4 linked regions of the Astyanax mexicanus genome follow. The protein of the gene in region 1 binds, or shares a complex with, the protein of each later gene. Links are inferred from orthologs where the notes say so. Each region holds a gene or a part of one and is shown in the gene's direction. Other genes may lie near its edges. The genes, in order: cacna1c, cacnb3a, cacnb2a and cacnb1.

The links.
Region 2: cacna1c (region 1) and cacnb3a share a complex: the UniProt entries of both Homo sapiens proteins name them as parts of the calcium channel complex. The link is inferred for Astyanax mexicanus from reciprocal best matches to the Homo sapiens genes CACNA1C and CACNB3.
Region 3: cacna1c (region 1) and cacnb2a share a complex: the UniProt entries of both Homo sapiens proteins name them as parts of the calcium channel complex. The link is inferred for Astyanax mexicanus from reciprocal best matches to the Homo sapiens genes CACNA1C and CACNB2.
Region 4: cacna1c (region 1) and cacnb1 share a complex: the UniProt entries of both Homo sapiens proteins name them as parts of the calcium channel complex. The link is inferred for Astyanax mexicanus from reciprocal best matches to the Homo sapiens genes CACNA1C and CACNB1.

Annotation. Positions count from the first base shown.
Region 1 is NC_064409.1:1,370,193-1,378,424, forward strand, and holds the start of cacna1c (voltage-dependent L-type calcium channel subunit alpha-1C), read left to right. Parts: upstream 1-4,665; 5' UTR 4,666-4,734; coding exon 4,735-4,858; exon of another isoform or gene 4,859-6,532; intron 6,533-6,555; exon of another isoform or gene 6,556-6,700; intron 6,701-6,772; exon of another isoform or gene 6,773-7,005; intron 7,006-7,046; exon of another isoform or gene 7,047-7,583; intron 7,584-7,903; exon of another isoform or gene 7,904-8,232. Other genes in the region: dcp1b (mRNA-decapping enzyme 1B), read right to left, coding at 2,523-2,589. UniProt on the Homo sapiens protein: Pore-forming, alpha-1C subunit of the voltage-gated calcium channel that gives rise to L-type calcium currents. Mediates influx of calcium ions into the cytoplasm, and thereby triggers calcium release from the sarcoplasm.
Region 2 is NC_064420.1:16,644,597-16,652,778, forward strand, and holds the start of cacnb3a (voltage-dependent L-type calcium channel subunit beta-3a), read left to right. Parts: upstream 1-4,832; 5' UTR 4,833-5,399; coding exon 5,400-5,480; intron 5,481-7,294; coding exon 7,295-7,387; intron 7,388-8,182. UniProt on the Homo sapiens protein: Regulatory subunit of the voltage-gated calcium channel that gives rise to L-type calcium currents. Increases CACNA1B peak calcium current and shifts the voltage dependencies of channel activation and inactivation.
Region 3 is NC_064415.1:32,755,912-32,764,599, forward strand, and holds the start of cacnb2a (voltage-dependent L-type calcium channel subunit beta-1), read left to right. Parts: upstream 1-5,441; 5' UTR 5,442-5,665; coding exon 5,666-5,746; intron 5,747-8,688. UniProt on the Homo sapiens protein: Beta subunit of voltage-dependent calcium channels which contributes to the function of the calcium channel by increasing peak calcium current. Plays a role in shifting voltage dependencies of activation and inactivation of the channel.
Region 4 is NC_064426.1:27,356,157-27,364,050, forward strand, and holds the start of cacnb1 (voltage-dependent L-type calcium channel subunit beta-1), read left to right. Parts: upstream 1-4,588; 5' UTR 4,589-4,758; coding exon 4,759-4,848; intron 4,849-7,894. UniProt on the Homo sapiens protein: Regulatory subunit of L-type calcium channels. Regulates the activity of L-type calcium channels that contain CACNA1A as pore-forming subunit.

The DNA of each region.
Region 1 (8,232 bases):
GAAACACATTTTTCTAGCTGTAACAGCAATTTTACTCTAATTCATTTTGTTATTTTTTCTTCTTTTCTATATATTGTTTTAATCTAGTTGAATCTTCATTATGTATGCTTTATTTATGCTTTATTCTTATTCTTATTTTATATTTATTTCCATTTAATTGTTATTCTCTTACATGTTTATTTTGACTCTCTGTGTATTTTCTCGTTTGTAAAGCACTTTGAATGACCGTTGTGTATGAAAGGTGCTGTATAAACACCCCTTTCCTTATGGTCCAGTCACTCCAGTCATACAGTCTAATATACTAGCCAAAGAAATATCATATTTCAGTAGAAGATGCCTCATTAATCTTATTTTAAAGACATGTACAGTTTGAGAACTTTGTAAATCTATATGAAAATGTCATTCCTTATCTGCACACCTTTACAAACTGTAAATTAGAGTAATAGATCAACAGTTTTGCATCAGAGAGAACACTAGCTGCTTCTAAAGGGAAAATACTCATATAATACTTGTATTAAAAAGTACTTTTAGACTAACTGTTTGTTCTGTGGTTCAGACGTGGTTATTGGAGGAATACAGAGGAGCTCCAAGGCTAACAAAAGAGAATAAAATCTATAAGAAGAGTGGAGAATGTAATTTATGTTGCTTTTATATATAATTAGGTACCACTTTAAAATATGGTTAGTAATTGGTTTATAAAGGAGTTTATTAATGGTCATTAATTCGGCTATGAACCATTAACAAGCAGATACAACACCAAATGATCTTACTTATTGTCTTTTCCATCAGTCATCATTAACATTTCTGTAAATAACTTTATTCATTTAGCTATAATAACATATTAAAGGACTGAACTGACTTTCTATTGTATTTTTTTATTACATGTTAAAAACGTTATTGTCACTGTTGTTCTTTCTATTTATGTGCTTATCAATTATTTTTTTAAGTATTTAAAACGTTACAAACATTAATTAAATTCTTTCTAAACTATTTATAAACCCTTTATGAAGGAGCTTTATTTTAAAGTGGAACCTATAACTGTTAGTTGTGTGTTTTGTTTAAAAGTGTGTGTGTGTGTGTGTGTACAGTGTGTGTGTGATGGTTATAGGATGTTTATAGGTGGTGGGGGGTTTATCTCTGGGGGGGTCAGATGGTCTCTGTGGTACTCTGTGATTATATACAGGATTTCTGCTGCAGTTTAATGAGTGGTGCCTGATTTAGGCCTCTGTTGGTATTTTAGTTTATTTTTTTATTTTTCCACTGAAATAAAATCTATAATTAGATTTTCCAGTGGTGGTGATAATGGTACGATGTTCGGGTTTCAGTCGGTTCATGAGAACAGCTTTTCTGCTGCTGATTATCTCTATAAAAATAATTCTATTGTTTAGTTTTTTGGTAAACTTTGTTGCTGGTTTCACTGCAATCTGAATAAGTGAGGATGGTGGATGGATCGAACTGAATGATTTCAGGTGGAATAAACTCTATACATGTTCTAATATAAAAAGTTATATCAAGAATTGCTATTATTATTACCAAACAGGATAAACGAAAGAATTAATTATTATACAAAAAAGTATAGTGGTATGAAAAATAATACTATAAAATCTAGCAAATAAATTAAATTTCCTGAAATAATTAATAGTTTTTCTTATTTCCACTGCATTAGAATCATAAGTGTAATATTTAAAATTTAAAATTAAGCTTTTTATTTCATAAACCATCTTAAAACTATAAAAAAAAAACATGATTAAAAGTGGTCCAAATCACTTAAATCATTAAATTAGCAAAAATAAAAAAATAAAAATGTGCTGTTACTTTGCCTCAATATCTCTAGTATTACCATTTTACCAGTGTTTTTGCAGTGGGCGGGGCCAAGTTACTGTTTTATTGGTTTATAAACTTATTTATTGGCTGGTTCATGATCTATTCATTTAAAATTTAAAACATTTAAAAATAAAGAAAATACATGATGTCCACTCTAATGGATGTACAGGGTCTGAAAGGGTTAATATTAAATAAAATAAAAAGGCAAAACACTAATTAAATATAATTAAATATAAAGGAGACATAAGATTGTGCATCACTTTAAATGGTGCTGTTTTTAGCAAAAACTAATACCAAAAACTGAAGTTGTTATATAAGAAATAAAAATCTAAATCGTATATTTGAAGAATATTGAGATAATTATTTGTCTTTTTATAATATCGCCCAGTCCTTACTACAGTCACGGACAAAAAAACAGGACAATAGGTACAGTTTTAAAACCCTGTGCTGTAGATTTTACAAGTTTCCCCCGTACCACTGTTAAATTGCTTTATTTAAACAGTTTTAAATAAACACCGCTCTGCTAAAAGCTCTTAAAGAAACAGACAATTTATGGTGATTTTAGTACAGCGGCACAGTGATAAAAATGAAATAATAATAAAGAATTGACCACAGTTGTAACCCAATCTATTTTAGTTTCACTAAACTAAATCAGGACGTCTCTAAAAACAGTAATTTTATTTATTAGAAACACTTACCTTTTCATCAGTTCAGCGATGCGCTGGCAGTCCTCCTTATCATAGAACCAGATCCCATAGATGGACACTGTAGGAAGAGATATCATACAACATTTTAAGCAATGATTTGAGTAAATAGGTAAATTAGAAATAAAGAAAATATCAATATTTTGATATCTTAAATCTTATGATACAATACTAGTGATAGGGGCATAGAGTTACCCATACAAAGAAATCACAATTTTTACACCATTAACAAACTCAAAGTAGCCTAAAAATTAATTCTTAGGAATGAGTTTCAGTAACCATTAAACCAAACTGAACTGCTTGAATTTTTACACCAGGAGTAAAGCAGCATAAAGTTATCCAAAAGCAGTGTGTAAGACTGGTGGAGGAGAACATGATGCCAAGATGCATGAAATTAAAACTGTGATTAAAAACCACCAGGATTATTCCACCAAATATTGATTTCTGACTCTTAAAACTTTATGAATATGAACTTTTTTTCTTTGCATTTATGACAATATTTTTATTTGGAATTTGGGAGAAATGTTGTCTGTAGTTTATAGAATAAAACAACAATGGTCTTTTTTTTCTCAAACATAAACCTATAAATAGCAAAATCAGAGAAACTGATTCAGAAACTTGCAAGAAATGCAAAGAAAACAAGTTCATATTCATAAAGTTTTAAGTGTTCAGAAATCAATATTTGGTGGAATATTCCTGGTGGTTTTTAATCAGTTTATTTCATGCATCTTGGCATAATGTTCTCCTCCACCAGTCTTACACACTGCTTTTGGATAACTTTATGCTGCTTTACTCCTGGTGCAAAAAATCAAGCAGTTCAGTTTGGTGGTTTGATGGTTTGTGATCATCCATCTTCCTCTTGATTATATTCCAGAGGTTTTTTAATTTGGTAAAATCAAAGAAACTCATAGTTTTTAAGTTACAACAAGTAAATGGCTCCCATTGGATGGAATGGCTCAATAGCAATATTAGCTTGGGTGCTGTTGGTTGGCTGCTGTCGGTTGGGTGCTGTCGGCTGGGTGCTGTCGGCTGGGTGCTGTCGGCTGGGTGCTGTCGGCTGGGTGCTGTCGGCTGGGTGCTGGTGGTTGGGGTGCTGGTGGTTGGGGTGCTGGTGGTTGGGGTGCTGGTGGTTGGGGTGCTGGTGGTTGGGAGCTGTTGGTTGGGTGCTGTTGGGTTGTTTGGGTGCTGTTGGGTTGGTTGGGTGCTGTTGGGTTGGTTGGGTGCTGTTGGGTTGGTTGGGTGCTGTTGGGTTGGTTGGGTGCTGTTGGGTTGTTTGGGTGCTGTTGTTTGGGTGCTGTTGGGTTGGTTGGGTGCTGTTGGGTTAGTTGGGTGCTGTTGGTTGGGTGCTGTTGGTTGGGTGCTGTTGGTTGGGTGCTGTTGGTTGGGTGCTGTTGGTTGGGTGCAGTGTTTCAGGAACACATGCTGTGGTCCTGACAGTTTGAGAAGGACCACTTCCCCTCACCTCCACTAATCTACAGCCCGAGCGAGATACCAGAACCCAAATTGGGACGGAGGAGATAACAGAGATAACTCCACCGCTCCGCCTGTTAAGTGGGGGGAGGTGGAGGAAAAAAGAAAGATGTAAAAAAGAAAGAACAAACTCTTCACTGCTGCAGCGTCTCCACCACTCTCCGAGAGCTCTGCTGAGCTTTAAGTAGAGTCACTGCCTGGGTCAGCGCTTGGGAACGAACCCAAACAAACGACTGATCCCTGGGAAAGAGGGAATATTATTCACATAGCTGGGTGAGAGAGAGAGAACGAGGGAAGAGCCAGAGAGAGAGAGAGAGAGCAACAGAGAGAGAGAGAGACTCACTGTAGGACAAGGTGCCATAAAAAGCGAAGTTGGTGGAGTGCAAGAGGACAAAGAGGAGGAGGCGTACGAAAGTACGTACGGAAGCACTATTAGAGTTCTTCTTCTTCTTTTTTCTTTATCTTTATCTTCTTCTTCACGTGGAAAAACAACATCAGCAGCAGCAGCAACTACATCTCTTCTCGAACTCCATCTCCATGAAACGAGTGCAGAACGAGGGAAAGAAGAAGCCAGACACAACTTAAGACCCCAGGAAACACATGGGCGCATTTTTCTCGAAAATCTCGCCGCGTCTTCTTCGCCGCTTCTTTTCTCCATCGCTCGAGCTTCAGCAGCTTTAAGGACGTACGTATCTGAGGGATAACTGAGGGATAACTGAGGGATAACTGAGGAACAATGCTACGCAGGCTTTTCCAGAGGAAGCTGAAGCACCAGCGCTTGCAGGAGGAGCCAGAGGTGCGCTTCAAAGGGAAACTCATCTCCGAGAAAGAGCTGGGATATACCTACGTAAAGCCAGGAGGTAAGAAACCGAACTCGAGACGCCTGCCTGCACTCAGGCATTATTAACCCGAGCGATGGTGTTTGTATTAAGAGCAGAGGACATTCTCCAGCTCTGCATTTCTGGCGTGACTGTGTAGGTGATGGATGAGCCGTTTGCTACCGAAGTTGAACGGCAGCCCAACAACAGTAGAGAATCCAAGATATCCTGCTGTGTAAAGCGTGCAAAAAGTTTCAGGGGTGGGCGATACGTCCCTAAAATTACGATATTCACAATATTTTATTGTATTTTCGCAATAATGAAACGAAACTTCTGACTTTTGTTATAAATCTGAAAAAAACTCTTGTATTGTTTAAATATCTCTATTGATATTTATGACAGAAAACCCCTCCTGTTACTGAAACTCACTCCTGTTACTTTTTATATTTTGAATAACAACAGGACTGAGTTTTTTTAGCATAGAATTAGCAAAAACATGAAAAACAGCTAAATATCGGCTATGCTAACAGCATGAGGACACTGCTACCAAAGTTGAAGATATCCTGCTGTGTAAAGCGTGCAAAAAGTTTCAGGGATGAGTGATACTAAAATAACGATATTCGCGATAACGAAACAAAACATGGTGATATGACAAAACACTGAATTAAAAAAATATTTTACTATTGTATGTGATATGAAATGGCACACCCTTAACTGAGATATTTAAAAATAAAAAATAATAATAATTATAAGAATGAAATAAAGAAATCAGTATAATGGTGATATTGTATATCCATTCTAAAAATCACCAATCAGCTAAATATTAAAATATATATATATACATATCATGTATCTTCATTCAGCTAAAAAATATTGATACATATATACATATATAATTTTTTTTGCTGAATTGCGATATACAATATTTATATATCAATATTTTTTAGTTGAATGAAGAGTTTTTACAATACAGCTGAAAAAAAATTAGATAAATAAATATCGTATATGACCATTTAGCTAAAAAAAAAAAAATCAAAATATATATATGGTATATCACCAGTCAGCTAAAATTAGTTTTGAGCCATATCATCAAGCCCTAGATAAAATACAGTTTTACTGACTGTTTCCTGTGATCATTTTACAAATATTCACCTATAAAACAGCTTTTTCTCAATGACATCACCTTTTCTCACAGTGAGCTCCACCTACCCGCCGTACTTTACAGTGTGTGTGTGTGTGTGTGTGTGTGTGTGTGTGACTCAGAGCAGGGTTTTGTTATCTTATCGGAGCTCTGTGATTGGGTGAGCTAATGCTGGCAGTGTTCTCTCAGCTCTGCCGCTCACATTCCTCCACACCATAAAAGGAGCTGTGGCTCCGGGTTCCTCTCCCTCAGCCCTGTCCCACTGCCAGCTCTCCCTCTCCCCCAGCACCTCCATCACCTACACCACCTCCACCTACCATCATACAGCACCTCCATCACCTACACCACCTCCACCCACCACCTACATCACCTCCACCCACCACCATACATCTCCTCCACCCATCATCATATATCTCCTCCACCCACGTCATACATCTCCTCCACCCATCATCATACATCTCTTCCATCTCCTCCACCCACCATCATACATCTCCTCCACCCATCATCATACATCTCCTCCATCACCTACACCACCTCCACCTACCATCATACAGCACCTCCATCACCTACACCACCTCCACCTACCACCATACAGCACCTCCATCACCTACACCACCTCCACCCACCACCTACATCACCTCCACCCACCACCATACATCTCCTCCACCCATCATCATACATCTCCTCCATCACCTACACCACCTCCACCTACCATCATACAGCACCTCCATCACCTACACCACCTCCACCTACCACCATACAGCACCTCCATCACCTCCACCACCTCCACCCACCACCTACATCACCTCCACCACCTCCACCCACCACCTACATCACCTCCACCCACCACCATACATCTCCTCCACCCATCATCATATATCTCCTCCACCCACGTCATACATCTCCTCCACCCATCATCATACATCTCTTCCATCTCCTCCACCCACCATCATACATCTCCTCCACCCATCATCATACATCTCCTCCATCACCTACACCACCTCCACCTACCATCATACAGCACCTCCATCACCTACACCACCTCCACCTACCACCATACAGCACCTCCATCACCTACACCTCCTCCACCCACCACCTACATCACCTCCACCCACCACCATACATCTCCTCCACCCATCATCATATATCTCTTCCATCTCCTCCACCCACGTCATACATCTCCTCCACCCATCATCATACATCTCTTCCATCTCCTCCACCCACCATCATACATCTCCTCCACCCATCATCATACATCTCCTCCATCTCCTCCACCCACCATCATACATCTCCTCCATCACCTCCACCCACCATCATACATCTCCTCCATCACCTCCACCCACCATCACACATCTCCTCCACCCATCATCATACATCTCCTCCATCTCCTCCACCCACCATCATACATCTCCTCCATCACCTCCACCCACCATCATACATCTCCTCCATCACCTCCACCCACCATCACACATCTCCTCCACCCACCATCATACATCTCCTCCATCACCTCCACCCACCATCATACATCTCCTCCATCACCTCCACCCACCATCATACATCTCCTCCATCACCTCCACCCACCATCACACATCTCCTCCACCCACCATCATACATCTCCTCCATCACCTCCACTCACCATCATACATCTCCTCCACCCATCATCATACATCTCCTCCACCCATCATCATATATCTCCTCCACCCACGTCATACATCTCCTCCACCATCATACATCTCCTCCATCCACCATCATACATCTCCTCCACCCATCCTCATACATCTCCTCCATCACCTCCACCCACCATCACACATCTCCTCCACCCATCATCATACATCTCCTCCACCCACCATCATACATCTCCTCCATCACCTCCACCCACCATCATACATCTCCTCCACCCACCATCATACAGCTCCTCCATCACCATCATACATCTCCTCCATCACCTCCACCCACCATCACACATCTCCTCCACCCACCATCATACATCTCCTCCATCACCTCCACTCACCATCATACATCTCCTCCACCCATCATCATACATCTCCTCCACCCATCATCATATATCTCCTCCACCCACGTCATACATCTCCTCCACCATCATCATACATCTCCTCCATCCACCATCATACATCTCCTCCACCCATCATCATACATCTCCTCCATCTCCTCCACCCACCATCATACATCTCCTCCATCACCTCCACCCACCATCATACATCTCCTCCATCTCCTCCACCCACCATCATACATCTCCTCCATCTCCTCCACCCAC
Region 2 (8,182 bases), on another chromosome or scaffold:
AATTCAGCTGCTGAGGGTTGGGCATATAACTTTGTGTAGTACTTTTCAAAAGAATGTTGTATGTCTTCCATTTTGTCACACATTTTATTAGTCTGGGGGTCCTTTACTTTTTGTATAAATCTCTCTGCTTGTTGTTTACGCAATCTCCATGCCAATATTTTTTTGAATTTTGGGCCATTCTCATAATAATTTTGTTTAATTAGTTTCAATTTCTGCTCTATTTTATTTTCATACAATTCATTTAAATGTTGCTTTGTATTTCGAATCTGATCTAAAACACTAGCTTCATTATGTATCATGTGTTTACTTTCCAGGTGTTTTAATGTTTCGGTTAAATCTCTAATTTCTTTTCCTCTTTCCTTCTGTTTTTGAGCTGTCCACATTATAAGTTTACCTCTAATTACAGCTTTTGCAGCATCCCACAATATGCTGGGGCTTACTGTTTCATTATTGTTATTAATCATGTAGTCTTCAAATTCTTTCTTTATATATTTTACACACTGAGGGTCATTCAGAACACTGGTGTTAAGCCTCCATGCAGTCTCCTTGGGCATATTGTCCAAATGTAATGTTAAATATACACCTGCATGGTCAGAGATGTCTCTTATCCCTATTTCACAGTTCAGAATCCTATGTCTGTCTGAGTTAAACATGAAAAAATAATCAATCCTTGTATAAACGGAATGCGCATGGGAAAAGAAAGTGAAATGTTTATCAAGTGGATGAAGATCCCTCCACATATCTACCAAACCCGATTCTTTAAGTAATTTATTAATGTATTTTGCATCAGGGTTTATAGTCTTTATTCTACTTGAGGAGTCTAAGGAGGGGTGTAAATGAATATTCCAGTCCCCACCACATATCAGCACCCCTGATGTTTCTAACAATATCATATTAAAAATCTTCTTAATCAGTTTTTTATCGCTACCTGGTGGTCTGTATACATTCAGCAATGTAATTTCTTTGTGATCAAGAAGTCCCTTCACCATTATGTAACGTCCCTCTTTATCGATAATCTGTGATGAAAACTGGAAATTAATTCTGTTTGGGATAAGTATAGCTACCCCTCTTGTGTTTTTCTTTTCAAAAGAAGAATAATATAGGTTTTTAAATCCCATTTTTCGCAACTTCTCATGTTCAATATTCGAAAGATGTGTCTCCTGCCAAAAAATTATATCATGTTTTTCTTTTTTCATTTTAGATATTGCCTTACTTCGTTTGATAGGATTATGTAACCCGTTCACATTAAGAGTAATTATTTTATATTTTTGATGATGCATTTCCCTTGTCAAAGAATGAAAAACTCTTTACCACAGTATTTAAATATCACTAGATGCTTTGAACAATGAATCTGCCTGAAACATAAAAGGAAACTTAACTGACTAATACACAAGTTCAACAAAAGTGACTTCCATTTCTGAAGTATGAACTCAACTTCTGAATTAGGAAGGGAAGCCCTACGACCTAGAGGGGCCCTTCCCTGTGCGATCTGGTATTTCTGGCCGTTCGGCATCAGAACAGTGCACATAAAACGCAAACATCAATCACCAGACATACGGTCAGTTTCAAAGTTTGGGCTTATAACAGGAAATTCTCACGTAAGTTTTATATTTCAGTGTCCAAAGTGTTCAAGTTACTAAATAAGTGCTTTTACCAGATGTTATGGGAAGCTATCCAGTTCTTTAAATGTTTGCGGGCTCTCGTGTAGTATCGGCATGGTGGCGGAATCCCTTCAGCTTCTCCTGAATATGCCTAAATCGAGCCTCGCGTTGCCTGCGTGATGTTCCTCCCGCTGGTTCCCATGAGAGATCTTTCATTCTCAACGAGTGTGCGCCTCGTTCAGTGACCTCAGCTTCAAGAGAGTCTATTCCTCTTTTCTTCAGATCCTCTCTCGCCTCCGCAGCGCTGTTGTAAACAATTGGTCCGGTGTCCAAAAAGACCCGGAGTTTCGCTGGGTAAATGGTCTGGAAACGGAGCCCCCTTTCTTTAAGCGCTTTCCTGATTGTGGAAAAGGCTTTTCTTTTTCCCAGTATTTCAGACGGGTAGTCTTGCTCAAAAAACACCCTTCTGCCACTATGGTGTATCTCCTTCTTTTTCCAAGCGGAGCGGAGCACCAGCTCTTTGGTTTTATACTCCTGGAAACAGACCACTATAGACCTCGGGTTAGAGCCTTGCGGTGGTTTGGGTCCGAGAGACCGGTGGGAGCGCTGTATACCGAGGGTAGCGTCGGGGAGGGACAACTCTGTTGTGATAAACTTTTCCAGAAATACCTCCATATTCTCTCCCTCGGCTCCCTCCACAATCCCATGTATGCGTATATTATTTCTGCGTGAGCGCGCCTCTAGGTCTGTTAGCTGAGCTTGAATGCTCTCCTGGAGCTCCAAAGTGTGGGAGAGCACCTGCTTAGCTTCGGTGCTCCACTCCTCCATTTCGGCTACTCGCTGCTCCGTCTCCTCGACTCTACCAGTTATTTCTTTCAGGTCAGATCTGATAGAGTTCAGCTTCTGATTGACTTCTTCTCTAAAGCCCACCAGTTCCTTTTTCAACATAAGCACAGTTTCGCCGAGTTCTTTTTTCACGTCCGAACGGATCTCCTTTATCTCAGTAATGATGTTAGCTTGGATAGCTTCCATAGCTTGATACTCGGTGAGATTGCTAGCGTCGTCGCTGGCGTTTTCACTTACATTCGAGGGTTTGTCGTCCGTTTTGGGGTTTTGATCCAAATTTCCTCTTGTCTTTCTCTTGTGCCCCCCTTTCATGGCATAAAAAGAAAAAAAAATCTACTTGAATCCTCAGTATTTGTTGAAGGGGGAGTAAGACCGTCTGGGAGCCTGAAACTTAAGCTGCTGCTAGTGTCGGCGCCATACCGGAAGTCATAAGTAAAAGGTTTTAGACTGGCCGGGTCAATCTCAAGACTTAACCCTTTAGATCATGCATTTTTCTTGCTAAAGAGAAGACTAAAGGGAGAAACCTCCCCAAAACTAACCCACCTAAACTTGCTACAATGAAAGAAGAATGCACATGGTTAGTGATGTAACTGCAAACAAAGAATTACAACTAAATTCATTAAAAAAAGGGCTATCTTCTGAACTGTCAGATATCAGATCCAGATGGAAATATCTGGGGGAAAAAAATCTATTTTTTTTATCTTTTGTCTTATGTACATCTTTTAATGTTAAACCCAAATGTTTTCAGACTATAGCAGAAGTGCGATTGTGGTTTATGTCTAGGCTGGGGCAGCATCACTGAAGGATATACACAGTCTTATCCTGAAGCTGCTTCAGTGTTGTACGTGTTGTGCTTTAGGCTGTTGTGATGTTGAAAGGTAAGCTGTCTCCCTGGTCTGAGATTCCGTTTGGACGGAAGGAGCTATTCTTCAGAGATTATCCTGATGTAGTCACTTGTCCCTCAGCTGCTCATTATCAGAATACTGTGCCTTTTGGCCTTTTTATTTTCCTGTCATGCATACATTCACCATGTTATGGCAACCTGCACGACAGGGTGGACAATTGTAGTAAACCTATCGCTTAGGTTGCAGTTGTTGAACTGTTATTTATGACCTTGTTTTGTTTCAAAGATATGTTTTAATTTCCTTTGATCGTTTTCATCTATGTGAAATTTTAGCATGACAGGACTAAATTTATCTCAGGTAAGTATGAAGATATTCAGTGTAATATTTTAGAAAGTGTTTTCAGTCCCTTTAAAATAAAACAGTATGGATTTCTAGTAATACAGTCTTGAGGACACCAGATGGTGCTATGAAACAAGATTAAAACAAAGCCTCGCAATTCGATTAGGATTAAAAGAACCAATAACCATTCCATTACAGTTTTTCTGAATTGTTTACACACATTTTCTGAAAACATGCCTCATATTCACAGAACTCTACACACAAATCCAACAAACACGCACACAATGGGCAAAACCCTTCAGTTCTCCTGCAAAATAAAACTTTACATTCAAAAGTGTTATCTCTTTACAAAAGGGTATTTTGTGTTCAGATGACACACACACACACACACCATCATATAAAAAGACAAGCTAAAAAAGCAGTTGAACACTGATGTTCTCAGTGTAAAACACTATTCTCCATTTATCATAATGACTTTTTGTTCAGTTTTACACTTACTACAGACAGTAAATACATAAGTGCGTTGTAAAATATTTAATAATATCGTTTTTATACTCAGAACACAGAAATATACAGTAAAAATACATTTTATTTTTCCAACCAAAACAATGTACACAGTGTACCATGCAACCACCACAAAGATGCAGTGGTTTACATACAAAACAACAGAAGAATTTATTGTATAATGTAAAACTATGCTGCATCCTGTCTTCTGTTTCGGTCTGCTAAAGCTTAAGTTGCTGATTGTAAACCTGTGTGAAGGGTGTTTGCCCATGTGACCAGTCAGTGTGCATAGTAGGGTAATTAACTTTAAAGTTTTGAATAACAGTGTGTTCCTTGTGAAAACAAGAGATTTTATTCAGGAAAATTGTGCCAAATGCAGAAAATTGTGTATGTGTTTTGAAAAAGTGTGTTTTTTATAACTGCAATTTGAGTGTAAATCAGGAATTGTGCTTGTAGTTTAGCAGAACTGGTTCAAGCAGTAGGTGTGTAAGTTACATGTTGTGGTCATAGTGTCTCAAGTACCAGAAATTGTGTGTAAACAATCCAGAAAAACTGTAAAATATACCTGAATTTGCTTCCAGTTTGAATCACTGGACTGGATGGGGATATAATTTGGGGTGATGATGTGTTTTCTCTTCATTTTAATCTTTTATTTATTATAATACTTATTGTTCATGATGTTGTATTAGAAAGGAACTGGAATATTCTTTATTATACGAAATATCTAAAAAAAACACACACACACATTTTAAGTTCTAAAACAAAGAAAAGTAAGAGAGAGAGAGTGCGAGAGCGGTAGAGATAGAGACAGTGGTAAAAGTAGGGAGAGAGACTGGTAAAGAGAGAGTGAGAAATAGAGTGGTAGGGAGAGTGAGGTAGAGAGATAGTAGAGAGAGAGTGAGTAAGAGAGGTAGAGAGAGATAGAGAAAGAGAGAGTGAGTAAGAGAGGTAGAGAGAGATGGAGAAAGAGAGAGAGTGAGTGGTAGAGTGAGAGAGGTAGAGATAGAGAGAGTGGTAGAGATAGAGAGGTGTAAAGAGAGAGAGAGGATGCGGATCTATCGCTCGGCTCTCTCTCTCTCGGCGCTGGGTCTCTGTGCTCCCCGGGCTCCGGGTTTTTAATGGTTCCGCGGCGGATCAGACCCGCTCTCTCCCGGCTCCAGCGCTGCTCCTGCGGGCGGATGCTCGCTCCGCTCCCCCCGAATGTGCGCGCTCCCTCCGCCTCCTCCGCTCAGCCCCTCGCCCGCCGCCCTGCGCGCGCAGATACATGGTCCAAGTGAAAATGTCCAAATCGGCCGCAGACCCGCTGCCCGGTACCGAGACCGGCTCCCAGTCCCACTATTTTCAGGTAGGTGTAGCCGGGGCCGCTCGCTTGTACTACCGCCGCGGGGAGGGTCTCTCCAGCTCTGGGTTGGCTGGGGCTGGAGCTCCGGGGCAGCAGCAGCGTCTCCTACCGGGGGCTGGATCCACAGCCGCGGCGTGCAGACGCTGCCAGACCCGCCGTTACCGCACCGCGGCCCTTTACGGGCGCAGGGATAGGAGAAGCGGCCCTATAGCCCGGTTTAACCCGGTGAAGCTCACTTTAGCTAAGGGCTGAGATTTCCTCCGCAGCTCTGAGGCCTCCATCACTGCTGTGCTGGGAATTAGCTGACTAGCTTGTGTAGCTTATCTGTGTGTGTGTAGGTACGAGAGTGTGTGTTTGTGTTTATACACGAAAAAACACTTCACAATTGTCCTCTTTCAGAAGAAAAAACAGCTCCATCCATCTTCACCTCGTTTATCACTTAAAGTTCTTCACCTGTAAGCATCATCATCAGCAGCAGCAGCACCCTCCTTCTACACCATCCACACCAGTCAGCAGGAGGCTCCACCGCTCCCAGTAAACACACAGGCTGAAGTTTGGCTGCAGGGAGGCTTTATCTGCAGGTTCCTCCTGTGAAGCTCGACCTAAACCAGTGTTCCTCCACCCTGGTCCCAGTGCCTCCTTGCCCTGCACATATTCATCACTGTCCCTGATCCCAACACACCTGATTCAACCAGTCTGGGCCCAGTTTCCCAAAAGCATCTTAGCATTAAAAACATTTTAACAGAAAGAGAAAGAGCTCAGTGTAAAGCTTGCTCAACCTTTTGGGAAAACCGCCCCAGATCTTTTATAAGCCTTTTTAAAGCAGCAGTGGTGTGTAAAAGCAGGGCAACAAGGCACCAGGACCAAGATCAGGCATGTGAATGTCTCATAATAAATGAGGTTTCTAGGTTTTAGTTAAGCCAGACCCACAGGGGTTAAACCCTGACTGTTTACATTAATTTATTAAAGCAGGTTATTAGAAAACTGTTTTGTAGGATTCATCTGTGAAACGTGAGATGCTAGGAAATGGCTTTATTTAATTAATTCTGTTGATCCAAATGACTATTTTAATGTGATTTTCAAAAAAGAATTGCATATAGATATGCTGCCAGGTGGATCTTATTAGATAGGCTTGTGTTTTTGTCAAAAAAAACTCTTTTATGTTGCAGTGATTTTCATATTTTGCACTTTTCCTTAACTGAAATATAAGGTTATGCTGGCACTGTGTTAAATATACAGTAAAAACTGCTTGTAAGGTTGAAGGGAGCTGCTTGCTATAAAAAATATATATATAGCTAAAGTTTACTACTGTCCTACTAAAAGTGACTTTTTGGTGCAAACAGAAAGAATGATGAATTATAGTAATACCAGACAGGTTACGTTGGTGTGAGATTTAATTCCCAGGTGCACAGGTGGTTTGTGTGGGAAAAAAAATGGTTTTCGAAGGGATGGCACAATTTGTGAAATAATTGTAATAGCAGCATAAAAACTTTATTTCACCGTCTTATACAAATTCAACCAGCAGTTTACTGACAAACAAAATACATATATATATAATATATAAAAATATATATATATTATATATGATATATAAAAATGTATATATAAAAATATATTGTCAGTGGCTATTGTTAAGACATGTACTGTGCCTTCATAAATTTTACTGTTCCAGTCTTCATATTTGTTATAGGCCTATTTCACCTGCATTTAGGGTTTTAGGCCTCAAATCTTGTACAAATTACCAAATTTTGAAAAACACATGTTTTTGTGAAGATGTTTCCCATTTTCTGAGATGTAATTTGTATTTTTTTATGTAGTTGCCGAGAAAGTTGCCAAAACGCAAAAGCCGCTTTAAACGCTCGGATGGCAGCACCTCCTCTGACACCACGTCCAGCTTCATTAAGCGCCAGGTAAGCGCCATCTGTTCATCTGCTGTACCCCTGTGATATGGGGAGGATGTTAGGATAAAATTGAGAAGGATGGTATTCATAATATTAAGCAGAAACCAGAAGTACTTTCACCATCATCTATCTCATCATCACCATCAAAAAATTATATACAGCTCTGGAGAAAAATAAGAGACCGCATAAAATTAATGATGAGTTTCTTTAATTTGACCAAATTGAAAAATTCTGGAATATAATCAAGAGGAAGATGGATAATCAGAAGCCATCAAACCAAGCTCAACTGCTTGAATTTTTGCATCAGGAGTGGCATAAACTTATCAGACTCAGATTCATTTTGTGTTGAGTTTTAAATCCTGAACACTAGAGGGCAGTGTTGACATTAGCTTTCACACATCCACTGTTCTGGTTGTATAAAAGCTAATTTCTTTTCAAAAGAGTGTAATTGTATTCTTATACCATGATTTAATCATTATACCAGGGGCATAAAATGCTCTTAAAGTGACAGTAATATTATTTATCACCATTTGCTCTGGGGCAATATATTAGCTATTGTGGCAAACCTACCCATTATAATGCAAATCATTACTCATATCAGTTTATATCGTGTCAATAATGGAATTATATTGTATTGAATGAAATAAAAAAAGATATTGTGATTTAAGTTTTGGCCATATTGTCCAGCATTAATCGATCACAATATTTAACTAAATATCTCACTTTCAGTTTTTGCAGTATCATGCAGCCCAACATGCTGACACATTTTCTTCTCAGATTCTGATATTACCAGACTGAACATAC
Region 3 (8,688 bases), on another chromosome or scaffold:
CCATGCCCCCTCCATGCCCTGCCCCACTAGACAGCTTCGCTACTATTACTTTAATACAGAGCAAAATAGACAATTTTCGAAAACTTTATACATAGATTTTTTAAAATATTATAATTAAAAAAAAACATTTTACATACCTATATTCCAATTATGGTCTGTACCTTACAATGTGATCACATTACCTATTATAATTTATTTACTATTGCAGCAATACATAATGGCAGACTGGCATCAATGTCAGGCATTAATTAACAGGGAGGAATAATTAGTTGTAAACAGAAACTGCAGTATGTTTTTGTTCAGTATTAATATTTATAAACTTACATTAACAAATTGTCAACACTTCTAAACTACTTCATGAAGATCAGTGTCTAAATAGTTCCATGTGGTTTAACATTTTCTTTATTAGTGTTTGATGCCCACAGGAATAATTTTATTTATTTTGACAAACCAGTGGATATATTTTTCTTTGTGTGAATGGAAAATAACATGGCCTATGTCCCTAGCTTTGCCAGGCAACTTTGTATATATTATAACAGAGAGAATAGTTCTAAATGTTCAATAATAACATTGTTAGTATGAAAAGTTATAGAGACAGAAAATACTTACAAACATATTTATTTACAATTCAGTAATTAATTTTAAATCAATAATTGAAACAAACTATTCTTTTGACACGGCATCAGAATTAATACATTTTTTACTAGTTTAGGATGACATAACATATTTGCAAAAAATAACTAAATTTGCCTACAGCAATTTCTTGCAGCATATAGCATGGATCTGGTGTGTCAGCGTAACCATCATGTTGGAGGTGGCAACCTGCGCCACCAGTGCATTAATTTACACTGAGACAGGTGAATGATACACCAATAATAATCACAAGTCAATCACAATGGTATGGTTTATTACAAACAGCAGAGATGTAGTAATGATTCAGGATGCTGTCACACATTACAAATACCTGCTTTCATGCTGAAATACTATGTATTATGCTCTTTAACAAAGGCAGACATATGGTGTAGCATATTAATAAGTGTATAAATTAATTAATTTTTATATTAATATGTACATACATACACATATATACATAAATATACACAACAGACAACAAGACTCAGTAGTAGATGGTATATAATTCTTTAATTTAAACATTACAGTCGCTGTTGATGACATATTATTTTTATTTTAGCTTTTGTAGAAGTGTCAACATAAGCATTTACTCAATAAAAATGTAAAAGTACTGGTTTACCACAGGAGCCTATAGTGCACTACCCCCACCCATAACACCTTTAGTTAAAGTTCAAACTAACAATCAGAACATAGAGAAAATGTGATTCTGAGTGTGGCGTGATTGTTGGTACATTCTGGCCCCAGATATAATCTAATCGGCCCCCTGAAGTGCCCTTGTTACTCATCTGTCCTTTGCTCAAGAATGAACATCAGAATTTAACCATCATGGTTAAAGCTTATGTTGGAGAGATGTTATTAGATGTTAAACTGACAGTATTTGAATAAATGAATAAAATACAGGATTTTCTGTCTTTAAGATTATTTTACTCTATATACAGCAAAAAATAAAGTAAGATTGTTGTTTGTCTGATTTTAGAAATAATGATTTATAATTTCTAAGTCAGTAATTTAGCAGTGATGTGAGCACAACACTGCTACCAGAGGTTCTGATTACACACTAAGAAAAGTAAGTACGGATTTGTACTTAAAAGAGTACAAAGCTTGTCGCTGGGGCTGTACCTTATATTGAGGTACAAAAAAGTACCTTTCAGTGAAAGTCCTTTTTTGTACCCATGGTTTTTGTGCCAATAAAGATGATAAAGATTATAAACATTATCATCAACTAAATATGGCTCAAAAATTTGATGATCCAAATTTTTCTGGCTTTCAAATGAAAAATGTGCAATTAAAATATTTATTGTTAATTAGTACAGTGATACAGAATACTGAATGTACCTTTTGTCTGGTTAAATGGTACAAATTTGTACTTATTGGTGTTAGAAATTACTTTGTTCTTCAGCGGGAACAAATCTGACCCTGTAAAGACCAATATGGTACCATTGAGGGTACAATTATGAAGAGTGTACCTTTGAGTACAAAAAAGTACTCATATCGTACCTCTGTTGTGTAAGGTGACCTTCAACCTTTCAGGATGGTGGTAAAACAACAAAGAATCAGTGCTGGATGGAATACTGTGTATAAAGCGTTAACAGTGTTAACAGTGGAGGTGCTGCTGTTGGTTGTTTGTGCACATTTTTTAAACTTGTAATCTATATTCATTCTACTTAGAACAATGCTTTTTGTTGTTCTATCATAGCAAAATGACTACTTTGCTAGTGCAGGTGAAAGCCTCAGCCATTTCTCATGCCTCTCAAACAACACAGCACTTCAGCGTGATGTGCTGATCACATGAAATAAATGTTTTGATACTGTGGACTGTTTTTGAGTAGTTTTAAATGTGTATTTTGTTTTTATTGTGAAAATTACTACTGTGCTGTAGTTCCCACACCAACCAGCAGAGAGAGCTATGCTGACAAATGGGCTGTACATTTACTGGGGCTTCTGCTGCAGCCTCTCATTACCCTGTTAAATCTTTAACTCTATTAGTGAATATTCTGGTGTATATATTAATATTCCTGAGAAACATATATGGTATTAAACTTACTCTTTCAATTAAATAAGTCTGGGTTTGTTCATTATATATATTATTTATTATATTTTAATAAATACACAAACAGTTTAATTATTCAGAACAAATGTCATGCATACATGTCTCATATTACCAAATAACAACAGTGTCTGTTTTATATTATACATTTTTATATTATATATATGAATTCAGTGAGTACTTTATTGGATATACAGCTCTGTAAAAGAGACCAGTTTCTGAATCACTTTCTCTGATTTTGCTATTTATAGGTATATGTTTGAGTAAAATTAACATTGATGTTTTATTCTATAAACTACAGACAACATTTCTCCCAAACTCCAAATGAAAATATTGTAATTTAGAGCATTTATTTGCAGAAAATGAGAAATGACTGAAAAAACAAAACAGATGCAGAGCTTTCAGACCTCAAATAATGCAAAGAAAACAAGTTCATATTCATAAAGTTTTAAGAGTTCAGAAATCAATATTTGGTGGAATAACCCTGTTTTTTAATCACAGTTTTTATGCATCTTGGCATGTTCTCCTCCACCACTCCTTCACACTGCTTTTGGATAACTTTATGCCACTCCGAGTGCACAAATTCAAGCAGTTCAGCTCAGTTTGATGGTTGTGATCATTCATTGTCCTCTTGATTATATTCCAGAGGTTTTTAATTTGGTAAAATAAAAAAACTCATCATTTTAAGCAATCTCTTATTTTTTCCAGAGCTGTGTCTCCAAATCAGCTCATTTATCTAATTATTGCATCAGCCATTTGTGTGTCAGCAGATATAGCCTGGCAGTTTTAGTTAAAGGTAAAACTAACAATAAGAAGAGAAAATGTGATTCTGAGTGTGGCGTGATTGTTGGTACGTAATGGCCCAGATTGAAATCTAATTGGCCCCCTGAAGTGCCCTTTTTACTCATCTGTCCTAAACATCAGATTATAGGTTGATGCAATTTCATGTCCAAACGCCAATTAAGAATGTCCAGCATGATTACATCTTATTTAGGAGAGATGTTATTAGATGTTGAACTGACATTTTATAAAAAAGTAAAACATTTTTTAAAAATGAATAAAATGCAGGATTTATTGTGTTTGAGATTATTTTACTCTATATACAGCAAAAAATCATGTAACATTGGTAATTTTGTGCCAAAAGTTTAAACATATATAAAATATCAAATCAAAATTACAGATTATACATACATAAGCATAAAATAGATTCCAGAAGCAAAGTCTAAATAAAATACACAAAAACACATAAATAAAAGCAAAGACTGACAAAGTCCATATGCAAATAATAATGAAAAACAAAATTGGCACAAAATTAACTTTTAAATTACATTTTTGTTTGAACATGGTGAGACTGGTTAAATAATACCTGGCTCCTCTATTATTACTGTGGCCCTTGTGGCCCTTACTTAAAACAAATCCTACATCTGCCACTGCCTGGGAGTATCAGCATTGGTAGAAACTGATGGGAGAAAAAAAGTCAAGGAAACAGTCTTCAGTCAAAGATACATGCAAAAAAAGGTAAAACAGACTCAAGTGATGGCACTTTTAAGGCACTTTTACCCTAACCTAATCCTTTGAATACTTTTTCATGTCAACTCTGAACTTCTAACTCTCTTAACATCAGCCCCCATATTTCTTAAATGCTCTTAATGCAAATGTATTGCAAATGTATTGGAATGTCAAGTCAAGTCAATTTTCACAAAGATTTGAATGTTGTTGTTTTTTTTTGTATTTGCCAAATGAATTTTTAAAAAGATTTGGATCATTTAAAAAAAACAAAAAGTTTTTCAAGTCTGTTTTTTTAAAAGATTCAAATCATTTTTTAAAGTATTTCAAGTCTATTTTAAAACGTCCCAGCTCGCACACAACCGACCTTTAACGTTGAACTGTAGTTGAAATATGACTGAAACAATGTACTGTGTTGTTTCAACGTTGAAACAACGTTGAATAAACATTTAATGTTCAATGGTTGTGCTAACGTTGAAATTTTAACATTGAATCAACATAATGTCCTCAACCTTCTGCCTTTTGAATCAGCATTTTAAATTTCATCACCATATCATTTCTACAAACGGTTGGATGGAGAAATGAAAAAGTGTTTTACTTCTATTTGCACGAACTGCTTTTTAATTTAACATAATCATCTTGTTTTAATAGTTTTACTGTTTTAGTGTTTTTGAGATCAGATGTTAAATCAGATTGGCATGAGTAACTTTCTTTATACTCAGCTTTACTACAGTGGTGTAAGTTTATTGTTAACACTTTGTAAACCATAGGATTTTCTAGTTTTAGTGAGCTATGGTTTATTAAATGTTGAATGTATGACATTAAAACAACGTTGCTATATCAACGTTGATTCACTTTTCAAAATCAACGTTGATTCAACCATAACATCTACGTTGATTAACGTTGGTTCAACGTTTATTCAACGTTGAAATGCCAAGTCAATTTTCAAAATTATTCAAATATATATTTTTAATTGGTCATGTCAGTTTTCAAAAAGATTAAACTTCGTACATAAAAAAAACTGATCATTTTTTTTAAGTTTTTTTTTTTTTTTTTAGAATCTTTTAAACCTGAAGGTTAGGGGCTTCGTTAGTCTCAGCTAATGTAATAAGACGCTTATGATGGTCTTTATAACTCCGCCCCTTCACAGATTCACAGACTCTAAACTCCACGCGTTTCTAAACTCGGCTCTGCTGTGCGCGTGAGCGGAATGGAGAGGCGGGGGAGTCCACGCGCGGCGCTTCGGACCCTCATAAGCGGCAGCGCGCGCTCCTGTCTCTCTCCACAGCGCGTGCTCCTCTCAAAGCCGCTCGGTTATGCTGGCTGAGCTGAAGCCGGGGGGCGGGTTCAGTCTGAGAGTCTGCTTGTAAACTTTTCCACACTCTTCTCTCACCGGCGGACTGAGAGATAACTACAGAACCGGCCTTTAAACCTGCCTTCAGCCGCCCTGTCTGACCGCTCCTCTCCACACTCTGTCCAATGGTTTTAACCAGCATGCCCAAAACACCCTCAAACTCGGTGGAGAAACATCTGGACGGAGTGGAGAACCCCGCGGTGCAGGTAGGGAGGGCTCCAGAGTCTTTATCAGTTCAGAACTGACTGAGAAGAGGAAACCAGTTTAGACCGGTGATGAGTGTGGCAGTGAGGTGTGGGGCAGTAATATGTATGGTGGCAGTGAGGTGTGATTGTGAGATGTGTGGTAGTGAGGAGTGTGGTGATAATGAGGTGTGTGGTAGTGATAGGTCTGGTGGTAGTGATGAGTAATAGTAAGGTTTGGCGTAGTGAGGTGTATGGTAGTGATGATTGTGGAGGTAGTGAGATGTGTGGTAATGAGGTGTGTGGTAGTGATGATTGTGGTGGTAGTGAGGTGTGTGGTAGTGATGATTGTAGTGGTAGTGAGGTGTGTGGTAGTGAGGTTTGGGGTAGTAAGGTGTGTGGTGGTAGTGAGATGTGTGGTAATGAGGTGTGTGGTAGTGATGATTGTCGTGGTAGTGATGAGTCTGGTGGTAATGATGAGTAGTATTAAGGTATGGGGTAGTAAGGTGTGTGGTAGTGAGGTGGTGGGTAGTGGGACGTGTGGCAATGAGGTGTGTGGTAGTGATGATCGTAGTGGTAGTGAGGTGTGTGGTAGTGAGGTTTGGGGTAGTACGGTGTGTGGTGGTAGTGAGATGTGTGGTAATGTTGATTACCAGTGTGTGGTAGTGATGATTGTGGTGGTAGTGATGAGTCTGGTGGTAATGATTAGTATTGAGGTGTGTGGTAGTGAGGTGTGTGGTGGTAGTGGGATGTGTGGCAATGGGGTGTGTGGTAGTGATGATTGAAGTGGTAGTGAGGTTTGGGGTAGTAAGGTGTGTGGTGGTAGTGAGATGTGTGGTAATGAGGTGTGTGGTAGTAATGAGTGTGGGGGTAGTAAGGTGTGTGGTGGTAGTGAGATGTGTGGTAATGATGAGTAGTAGTAAGGTTTGGGGTAGTGAGGTGTGATTGTGAGATGTGTGGTAGTGAGGAGTGTGGTGATAATGAGGTGTGTGGTAGTCTGGTGGTAGTGATGAGTAATAGTAAGGTTTGGCGTAGTGAGGTGTGTGGTAGTGATGATTGTGGAGGTAGTGAGATGTGTGGTAATGAGGTGTGTGGTAGTGATGATTGTGGTGGTAGTGAGGTGTGTGGTAGTGATGATTGTGGAGGTAGTGGGATGTGTGGCAATGAGGTGTGTGGTAGTGATGATTGTAGTGGTAGTGAGGTGTGTGGTAGTGATGATTGTGGTGGTAGTGATGAGTCTGGTGGTAATGATGAGTAGTATTAAGGTATGGGGTAGTAAGGTGTGTGGTAATGAGGTGGTGGTAGTGGGACGTGTGGCAATGAGGTGTGTGGTAGTGATGATCGTAGTGGTAGTGAGGTGGGTAGTACGGTGTGTGGTGGTAGTGAGATGTGTGGTAAAATAGGGCAATAAGGGCTAAAATGTTTATCCTTTGTCTCATATTTGTGTCATCTTTTAATGTCAAACCCAAATGTTTTTTTAGTGTACAGCAGAAACATATCTATATGTTTGTCTAATCGTCTCTCGGCCTATATATCAATCTGTGCCAGTGAAAGTCAAAGAAGCTATTGTAAGAACAGAAAATAAAAATAAAACCATGAGAGAACAAACTTGGGGTTACCTATCCGTAAATTTTGGGATTACTAAAATCAAATGTCTTGAATCTTATTTGGGAGAAATAAACTGTCAATTGGCTGTCTGTTAATGTATATTTAGGAGGTAGGTGTGTATCTGCAAAAGACTTCAAAAAACAGAAAATACAGAGGGCAGTATGTCCAGATGTCTGTGAAACATGGTGGTGGGAGTGGCATGGTTTGGGCATGTATGGCTGCGTGCCACAGTAATACACTAATGGAACAGCATAATGATATCTGAGATGTATAGGATGAACAAGATGTCAAACAAGCAAAAGCTGAAAATATATGTTCTAGAGCAGGGGTGTCCAAACGGCCCGTGGGGCATTTGCGGCCCGTTTCCTTTTTTGGAGCGGCCCGCGAGGTATTTTAGAAATAGAATGAAAGTTGGCCCGCTGTTAAGCAGGTTTTTATAATGTGAGATTCAACGTTTGAACGCTAGGTGTCATAAAAAGTCTAAAAGCGGAGAGGGTGCGCATTTCTAGCGCAGAACAACGGGGCAAAAGAGTCTAAATGCAGACAGAGTGCGCATTTCTAGCGCAGAAACACGGGGCAAAAGAGTCTAAAAGCGGAGAGAGTGCGTATTTCTAGCGCAGAAAAACGTGCCAAAGAGTATATAAGCGTAGGCGGGGCAAAAGAGTCTAAAAGCGGAGAGAGTGCGCATTTGTAGCTCAGAAAAATGGGCCAAAGAGTCTAAAAGCGGAGAGGGTGCGCATTTCTAGCGCAGACAACCCGGCCAAAGAGTCTAAAAGCGGATAGAGTGCGCATTTGTAGCTCAGAAAAATGGGCCAAAGAGTCTAAAAGCGGAGAGGGTGCGCATTTCTAGCGCAGACAACCCGGCCAAAGAGTCTAAAAGCGGATAGAGTGCGCATTTCTAGCGCAGACAAATGGGCCAAAGAGTCTAAAAGCAGAGAGGGTGCGCATTTCTAGCGCAGACAAACGGGCCCAAGCGTCTAAAAGCGGAGAGAGTGCGCATTTCTAGCGCAGAAAAACGGGCCAAAGAGTCTAAAAGCGGAGAGAGTGCGCATTTCTAGCGCAGAAAAACGGGCCAAAGAGTCTAAAAGCGGAGAGGGTGCGCATTTCTAGCGCAGAAAAATAGGCCAAAGAGTCTAAAAGTTGCCGTAATTAAGGAGTTTAATATTAAGAGACATCATGAAATTAAACATCAATTTGAAAAATCTTAGTTTACACAACACTGTCAAAGATAATGATAGTAAGTCAAGTAAAATGGCGTGTAAATGAAATAGTCAGGAAAAAAAGTTTTATTTAAAGTGGAATATTTCATGATTTGTTTTATTACAGAGTGTGACTTCAAATATATTTCTCCTTCTGGC
Region 4 (7,894 bases), on another chromosome or scaffold:
TTCCCATAAGGCTCCTGTCACCATATATGTGCATATTGGGTGTGGCCTCTCCCTTACTTACCATGTTTGTGTTGTCTGCTGCCCAAAGCTACCTTATCCTTGGCATGCGTTAGTGTGATATATGTGTTGATAGTTGATTGCCTGTTGTAGGCTGGAAGAGCAAGCTACCTTTATTCTGTGTTTCTAGTTGTCACAGTATGTTGTCTTGGAACTATAGTGTTCATTCTTATATATATATATATATATATATATATATATATATATATATATATATATATATATATATATATATATATATAGGCAAAGTTATATATATATATATATATATATATATATATATATATATATAACTTTGCCTATATATATATATATATACAGTGGGTCCAAGAAGTATTTGATCCCTTGCTGATTTTCTTCGTTGGCCCACTAATAAAGACATGATCATTCTATACTTTTAATGGTAGATGTATTCTTACATGGAGAGACAGAATATTAAAAAGAAAATCCAGAAAATAAATCTAAGGAATATATATTAATTGATTTGTATTTCATGGAGTGAAATAAGTATTTGATCCCTTAGTATTCATTAGCAGTTCTGGCTTTTACAGACCAGTTAGACACTCCCAATCAACTTGTTACCTGACCTGAAGCCACCTGTTCTCACTAATCACTTGTGTGAAAAACACCTGTCCACAGAATCAGACAGATCACACAGATTTCAAGTCTCCAACATGGGTAAAACCAAAGAGCTGTCACAGGACCTCAGAGTCAGAATCGTTGACCTTCACAAAGCTGGAATGGGCTACAAAAAGATTAGTAAGGTGTTGGATGTGAAAGTAACAACTATTGGTGCAATTATCAGAAAGTTTAAAGAGTATAACATGACAATCAACAGACCTCGGCCCGGTGCTCCAAAGAAGATTTCGCCTCGTGGGGTGGCAATGATGCTGAGAACGGTCAGAAATCGTCCTGCAACCACTCGGCAGGAGTTAGCAAATGACCTGAAGGCAGCTGGGACCACAGTTTGCAAGGAAACAATTGGCAACACTTTGCGCAACAATGGATTCACATCCTGCAGTGCCCGAAAGGTACCCCTGCTGAAGAGAGCACATGTGGAGGCGCGCCTCAAGTATGCCAATGATCATTTGAAAGATGAACCAAGTTATTGGGAGAAGGTTTTGTGGTCAGACGAGACCAAAATTGAACTTTTTGGCCTCAACTCCACCCGCCATGTGTGGAGGAAGAAAAATGCTACCTATGACCCCAAGAACACTGTGCCCACCGTCAAGCATGGAGGTGGAAGCATAATGTTTTGGGGGTGTTTCTCTGCCAAGGGTACAGGGCTACTTCACCGCATCACTGGGAAGATGGATGGAGCCATGTACCGCAAAATCCTGAGGGACAACCTCCTCCCCTCTGCCAGGGATCTGAAAATGGGCCGTGGTTGGGTCTTCCAACATGATAACGACCCTAAACATACAGCAAAGGATTGGCTCAAGAAAAATCACATTAAGGTCATGGAGTGGCCCAGCCAGTCGCCAGACCTCAATCCGATCGAAAATCTATGGAGGGAGCTGAAGGTCAGAGTTGCCAAGCGACAGCCCACCAACCTTCATGATTTAGAGAGGATCTGCAAAGAAGAGTGGGCCAAAATTCCCCCTGGTGTGTGTGCTAAACTTGTGGTTAACTACAACAAACGTCTCACCGCTGTGCTTGCAAACAAAGGCTTTGCCACTAAGTATTGAGTGTGTTTGGCAAGAGGGATCAAATACTTATTTTCCTCATTGAAATACAAATTAATTAAAATTATATTCTTTAAAATTATATTCTGGATTTTTGTCTTGATATTCTGTCTCTCCATGTTAGAATATATCTACCATTAAAAGTGCAGAAGGATAGTGTCTTTATTAGTGGGCAAACAAAGAAAATCAGCAAGGGATCAAATACTTCTTGGACTCACTGTATATATATATATATATATATATATATATATATACAGGTGCTGGTCAACGAATTAGAATAATTTGAAATAGTGCAATCATGAAATTCTTTGAATGCATTTTTTGTGCAGAAAGCAAATCAGGTGTTCACCGCACCTGTCCTACTCGTTAGACTAATCACAGAACTCGTTACCTGGAAAAAAATTTGCTCAGCTGAGCTTTCCAAAAGGCCCATTTAGGCCATTTAACTGTGACACTGTTGTTTTATTGAATTAGAATAATGGAGAAACCGTTTCATTGAATTAGAATAATTTTTATTATAATTACAATCATCACTTTCTCAGTATTTTGTGGCTGCCCCCTTGGCTTGTATGACTGCCTGAAGTCTCCGCGGCATCGATTTGACCAGCTTGTCGCAAGTTTCCGCACTCACAGCTTCCCAGGCAGTGGCGATGTTCTGCTTCAGTTGGTCCAGCGTAGTAGGCTTTCTGTCGCGAATTTTCCGCTTGACGATGGCCCAAAGGTCTTCAATGACATTGAGGTCAGGCGAGTTGGCCGGCCATGCCAAAACTTCAAGCTGTTTTTAAGTGAACCAATCTTTGGTCGACTTTGCCGCATGAGCGGTGCAAGATCCTGTTGAAATATGAAGTCTTCTTCGCCGAACTGTTCCTCAACAGTCGGAATCAGGAACGTTTCCAGAACATCTTGATATACGGCAGCATTGACCGTCTTCTTGAGGAAGCAGAGTTTCCCTACACCTCGAGCGGACATGCATCCCCAGACCATAACGCTCTGGGAAAACTTGATGGATCTTTTCACGCACTCGTGGTTGTAGGTTTCGCCACCACGACGCCAGACACGAGGACCTTGGTCACCGAAGGAGATGCAGAAGCGTGATTCGTCACTGAAGACCACTTTCTGCCAGTCTTCAGCAGTCCACTCGCCGTGTTCTTTGGCCCACTTCAGCCGTTTCTCCATTTGTTTCTTGTTCAGCATCGGTTTTACTGCTGGAACGCGAGATTTGAAGCCGAGTTCGCGCAGACGACGGTAAGTGGTTGATCTGGAGACGTCAGCGCCGGTCTGCTTGTTCCACAAGTCGGTGAGCTCGGAAGTGGACTTGAACCGGTTGCTGACTGCGATCTTTCTCAGCTGCTTGTTGTCGCGAGCAGAAGTTTTTCGGACGCCGGAACAGTTGGTGCGCTTGCTGCAGTTTTTCTTGAGAGCTTTGCAGACGGAAGACTGGCTGATGCCGAGCTGCTCAGCAATTTTAGTTTGGGTCAAGCCTTGTTGGCGAAGGGCTTGAATTTGAGCCACTATTCCGGTTGAGAGGTCGCGCTGCTTACCCATGATTGATTTTACAACTTAGAAATTCTACTCAACCCTGACTTTATACTGCACAGTGAACACTCTTCACAGAAAACAAAAATTCGAGCATTTATTCTAATTCAATGAAACGGTTTCTCCATTATTCTAATTCAATAAAACAACAGTGTCACAGTTAAATGGCCTAAATGGGCCTTTTGGAAAGCTCAGCTGAGCAAATTTTTTTCCAGGTAACGAGTTCTGTGATTAGTCTAACGAGTAGGACAGGTGCGGTGAACACCTGATTTGCTTTCTGCACAAAAAATGCATTCAAAGAATTTCATGATTGCACTATTTCAAATTATTCTAATTCGTTGACCAGCACCTGTATATATATATATATATATATATATATATATATATATATATATATATATATATGAATATATAAGCAAATTATACTAACAGATGCAAATATATACAGTAAACAGCAACGAGAATTTCTCATTTTTAGGTAAGTAGGTTGTGTCCTGAGCCAATCTGTAGAACAAAGTGTAGTTCCACATTTCTCCTGGATGCCAGCATGTGTAAATGTTCAGTTCTGTTAGCAGCTTACCTGATTTATCATCAGTATGTTTTGATTCGCCAAACCAGGTGTTGATATGATGAGAACTAGAAACAACACTACTAAACTTGAATGAGGGGAGATTAGGAGATGTTGTAAGGAAAACAGTGATGTTAAAGCTTTTTGCTGTTGATTCAAGTTATCATCTGGCTTTGATTAATTTAAGTTGAATAAACATGTACATGTACAACTTAACTAAGTCAAATCAAAAGGATGACTAAGTTAAGTTGTATAGACTTAAAATTGTATATATTTACAACTTAACTGAGTCAAATCAAAATGATAACTTGACTGAGATACATTCAATAAACTTAAAATTCTATATATTTACAACTTAACTGAGTCAAATTAAAATTAAAACTTGACTCAGTTAAGGTGAATATACTTCACATTGTATATATTTTCAATTTAACTGAGTCTAATCAAAATGAAAACTTGACTCCATTAAGTTGAATAAACTTCAAATTATCTATATTTACAATTTAACTGAGTCAAATCAAAATGAAAACCTGACTAAAATAAGTTAAACAGACTTTAAATTGTATAAATATATTGAACCAATAAAAACAATTCAGTGTCCCTAAAGCTGCAGCGCGTGAGTTACAGCGCAGGAGCCGTTCAGTTGTATTAAGAAGAAATAATAAGAGGAACAAGCCCCGCCCCTTCGCCGGGCTGATTGATTGATGTGTGAAGAAGGGCGGGGCGTGGTCTCTCCGCTTTAACAGCTGGGAGGCTGGAGCTCCAGTGGAGAAGCAACACGGTGGAGCGTACGGTGCGACCAGATGAACATGTTCTGACAATGAACGCAGAGAAAACCGGAGAAAACAGCCAGAGAAAATACCCAGCGCGCTGTAAATGAAACACCAGACCACGGCTTAGCAGTAGAAATCAATGGTACAGAAAGGCATGTCCAGGACGCCTTCCACCTCCACACAGGAAATCCAGATGGACATGTTCGACCACCACGGATCCCACTCGCAGGTAAGAGAGAGAGAGAGGAGAGAAAAACGGGATGCACACCTGCTGCTGATCTGCTGATGCTGTGGATGCTTTGCTTTGCTTTAAAAAGGAATGTAGTGTGTGTGTGGGTTAGTTTTCTGCTGTGTAGATCAGTCCTATACGTTAGCTTAAGTTCTTACTCGCCTTATCTGCTGTGTTTTATCATGAGAAAATAATATAAATTTAAAAAACTCACAACAAAGAACCCAGCAGTTAGCTAAAGCTACTTTAGCATTGACAGCATTTATATCAGTGAATATACTGTACATATAACATGTTATATATGATTTGTTAAAGAGCTCATTTGCTCAAGACTCCATCTAAACTAGGTTAGCTTAACCTCCCCCCTTCAGAAAATGTCTTATTCACGCTTCAATTGGAAATATATAAGCTAATATAAGGCTGAAACCAACCTGTACTGCTTTCACAAGGCTCTCTGTGTGTGTTTGAATTATCGGACAGGTGAATATTAAGCACTTTTAGTGTAGTAATAAATAAGCGCTCAGTGGGTCTTGTTCCAGTGTGTGATGTTCCATAGCATATATAAAACATGATGTCATTTTGCTGCTACTGCTGCTTGATACATTATGACCACGCCCACGTGTAAACACACAAACATACGTACACACTCAAACACACAAAGTGTTGTTGGTATATACAGCTCTATACAAAAAATAAGAGACCACTTTAGTTTCTGAATCCGTTTCTCTGATTTTGCTATTTATAGGTATATGTTTGAGTAAAATGAACTTGTGATGAGTGTTGTTTTATTCTATAAACTACAGACAACATTTCTCCCAAATTCCAAATAAAAATATTGTAATTTAGAGCATTTATTTGCGGAAAATTAGAAATGGCTAAAATAACAAAAAAGATGCAGAGCTTTCAGAAATCAAATGATTAAGAAAGAAACAAAACAAGTTCATATTGTAAAGTTTTAATACTTCAATTAATAAATCAATATTTGGTGTAATAACCCTGGTTTTTAATCACAGTTTATATGCATCTTGGAATGTTCTCCTCCACCAGTCTTACACACTGCTTTTGGATAACTTTATGCCACTCCTGGTGCAAAGATTCAAGCAGTTCAGCTTAGTTTGATTGCTTAATTTGGTGTCCAAATGTGGTAAAATCAAAGAAACTCATAATATTTAAGTGATCTCTTCTTTTTTCCCCAGAGCTATATGTGTGTACACACACATAAACACTCACTCACTCACACTTAGGCTACTTGTCATATAACCTACCTTTAAGAAAAATGCTCTTCTAATTGTTCCCTTTTAATGAGTTTCATTTGAAAGAAGATTTGTTACATTGGTTTAACAAACTTAAATCAAAGGTTATTTACTAATTAATATCTTCTTTAAACAAATCACAGCTCATTTTTGAGTATGAAACTTTATCCAAAAATGAATGGTTCTTAGGGGTATGCCTTGTATATCGTATGATACACAATATTTCGTGACAGAATAATATTGAGATTTTGAAAAAAGCCATTTCTTAACAATAGCAATATCTTGAAAATATCATGATATTATTTTAGGGCCATATCGCCCACTCCTAATATTTATTCTATGCTGTGGCATTGCTCAAAGAATAATGTGTAGCACCTTTATTATTAAATATGTAATACTAAGTAGAGATCTTCTTTATTTTACGTCTTCGCTATATTCTTTAGGCCCATTTAGTCCAAACTATGTTTCCAACACAGATGCACATAGCCTTGTCACAATAACGATGTGTAGATGATATATTGCCCCAGAAATAATTGTGATAAATTATATTATTGTCATTTTATTACCAAAATAGTTTAATAAAAAATGCTAGCAAGTTAAAATATTGTTTCTCAAAAATGGATTTACAGGAACCTGTTGAACTTTTAATGGAAGTTATTATAAAAATGTTACTACATACTATTTAGTCTGTGATCTCATTACATGGTTTTTGTCCTTTCTTGCTTTTAAATGTCTCACATCTTCACAATTTGCCCTAGTCTGTACAATTAATAAATTACGACTAATCAGCAAAAATAGTCACTTCACATTTCACTGTTTGTTTATAAAGATTGTCACTAAAGTGTGGATATTTATATACATCATACCCCACTTTTTAGCTGCCAGCAGTTTATCCCTACCTTTTCACCCTGAAGTTATAAGAAGTGTTTCAGCCTGGGCTGTATTTAGAAATAAATAAAGCACAGTGTGGCCAATCAGAACAGTCAAAAAAGTTTCTTATTGAGTTATGAGAAGTCTAGTTGCTAAGTTGCTGCCAATATGATCCTAGGAACACCAGTTTGAAGCAGCCAGAGTCAGAGAGAACTAAAATGGGCATGCTCTCTCTCTGTGAGTTCTGTCTTTCCTCCATCACTCCTAACTAAATGTTGGTCCACACTGGCTACTGTTGACTGATGTATCAAGAGCTGGGTCACTGTGCTTTCCTCTGATCATCCTGGCTACTCAGTAATGCTAAATCAGTGGCAGTTTGAAAGGAGGCAGTGGCTGCTTTCACATGTATCGGGTGAGGCATGTACAAGTCTTCACCCTCTTTGTGTTAGGGGTATTGCAAGTGATGGGTGATGGGGGAGGACTAAGAAGTAGGTCTTCCATATTGGAAAGAAAATGCTCAAATGATCATACAAAACCTCACAAAAATGAAACAGACAAATTCAGAATTTGGGCCCTTTAATTGCTTCAAGTTATTAGTCATTAAGAAACACTATATTTTGCTTTTAGAGTAGGGAAAAAACACTGAAATTTGCAGGGCATGGCATCCTAAGGAATAACTACGAGAAGCTCTGTTGAAGTACATTTATTTGAGGGAAATTCTGCTTGAATCCTGGCGTGGGTGACAGCGTGTCTCTGATTGAAAGCAGAACATTCACCATTCAGAGCTGAACAGAAGTGGACCTGCTGTCATGTACTCTCGTTGTAACCTTTTCCGGTCGTATTTCTCTTCTGCTTTCCTCTGCTCTTTTTTTTTTTTTTACACCTATTCACCATTCCTTTAGATCCAGGTCTGTTTAGGTGAT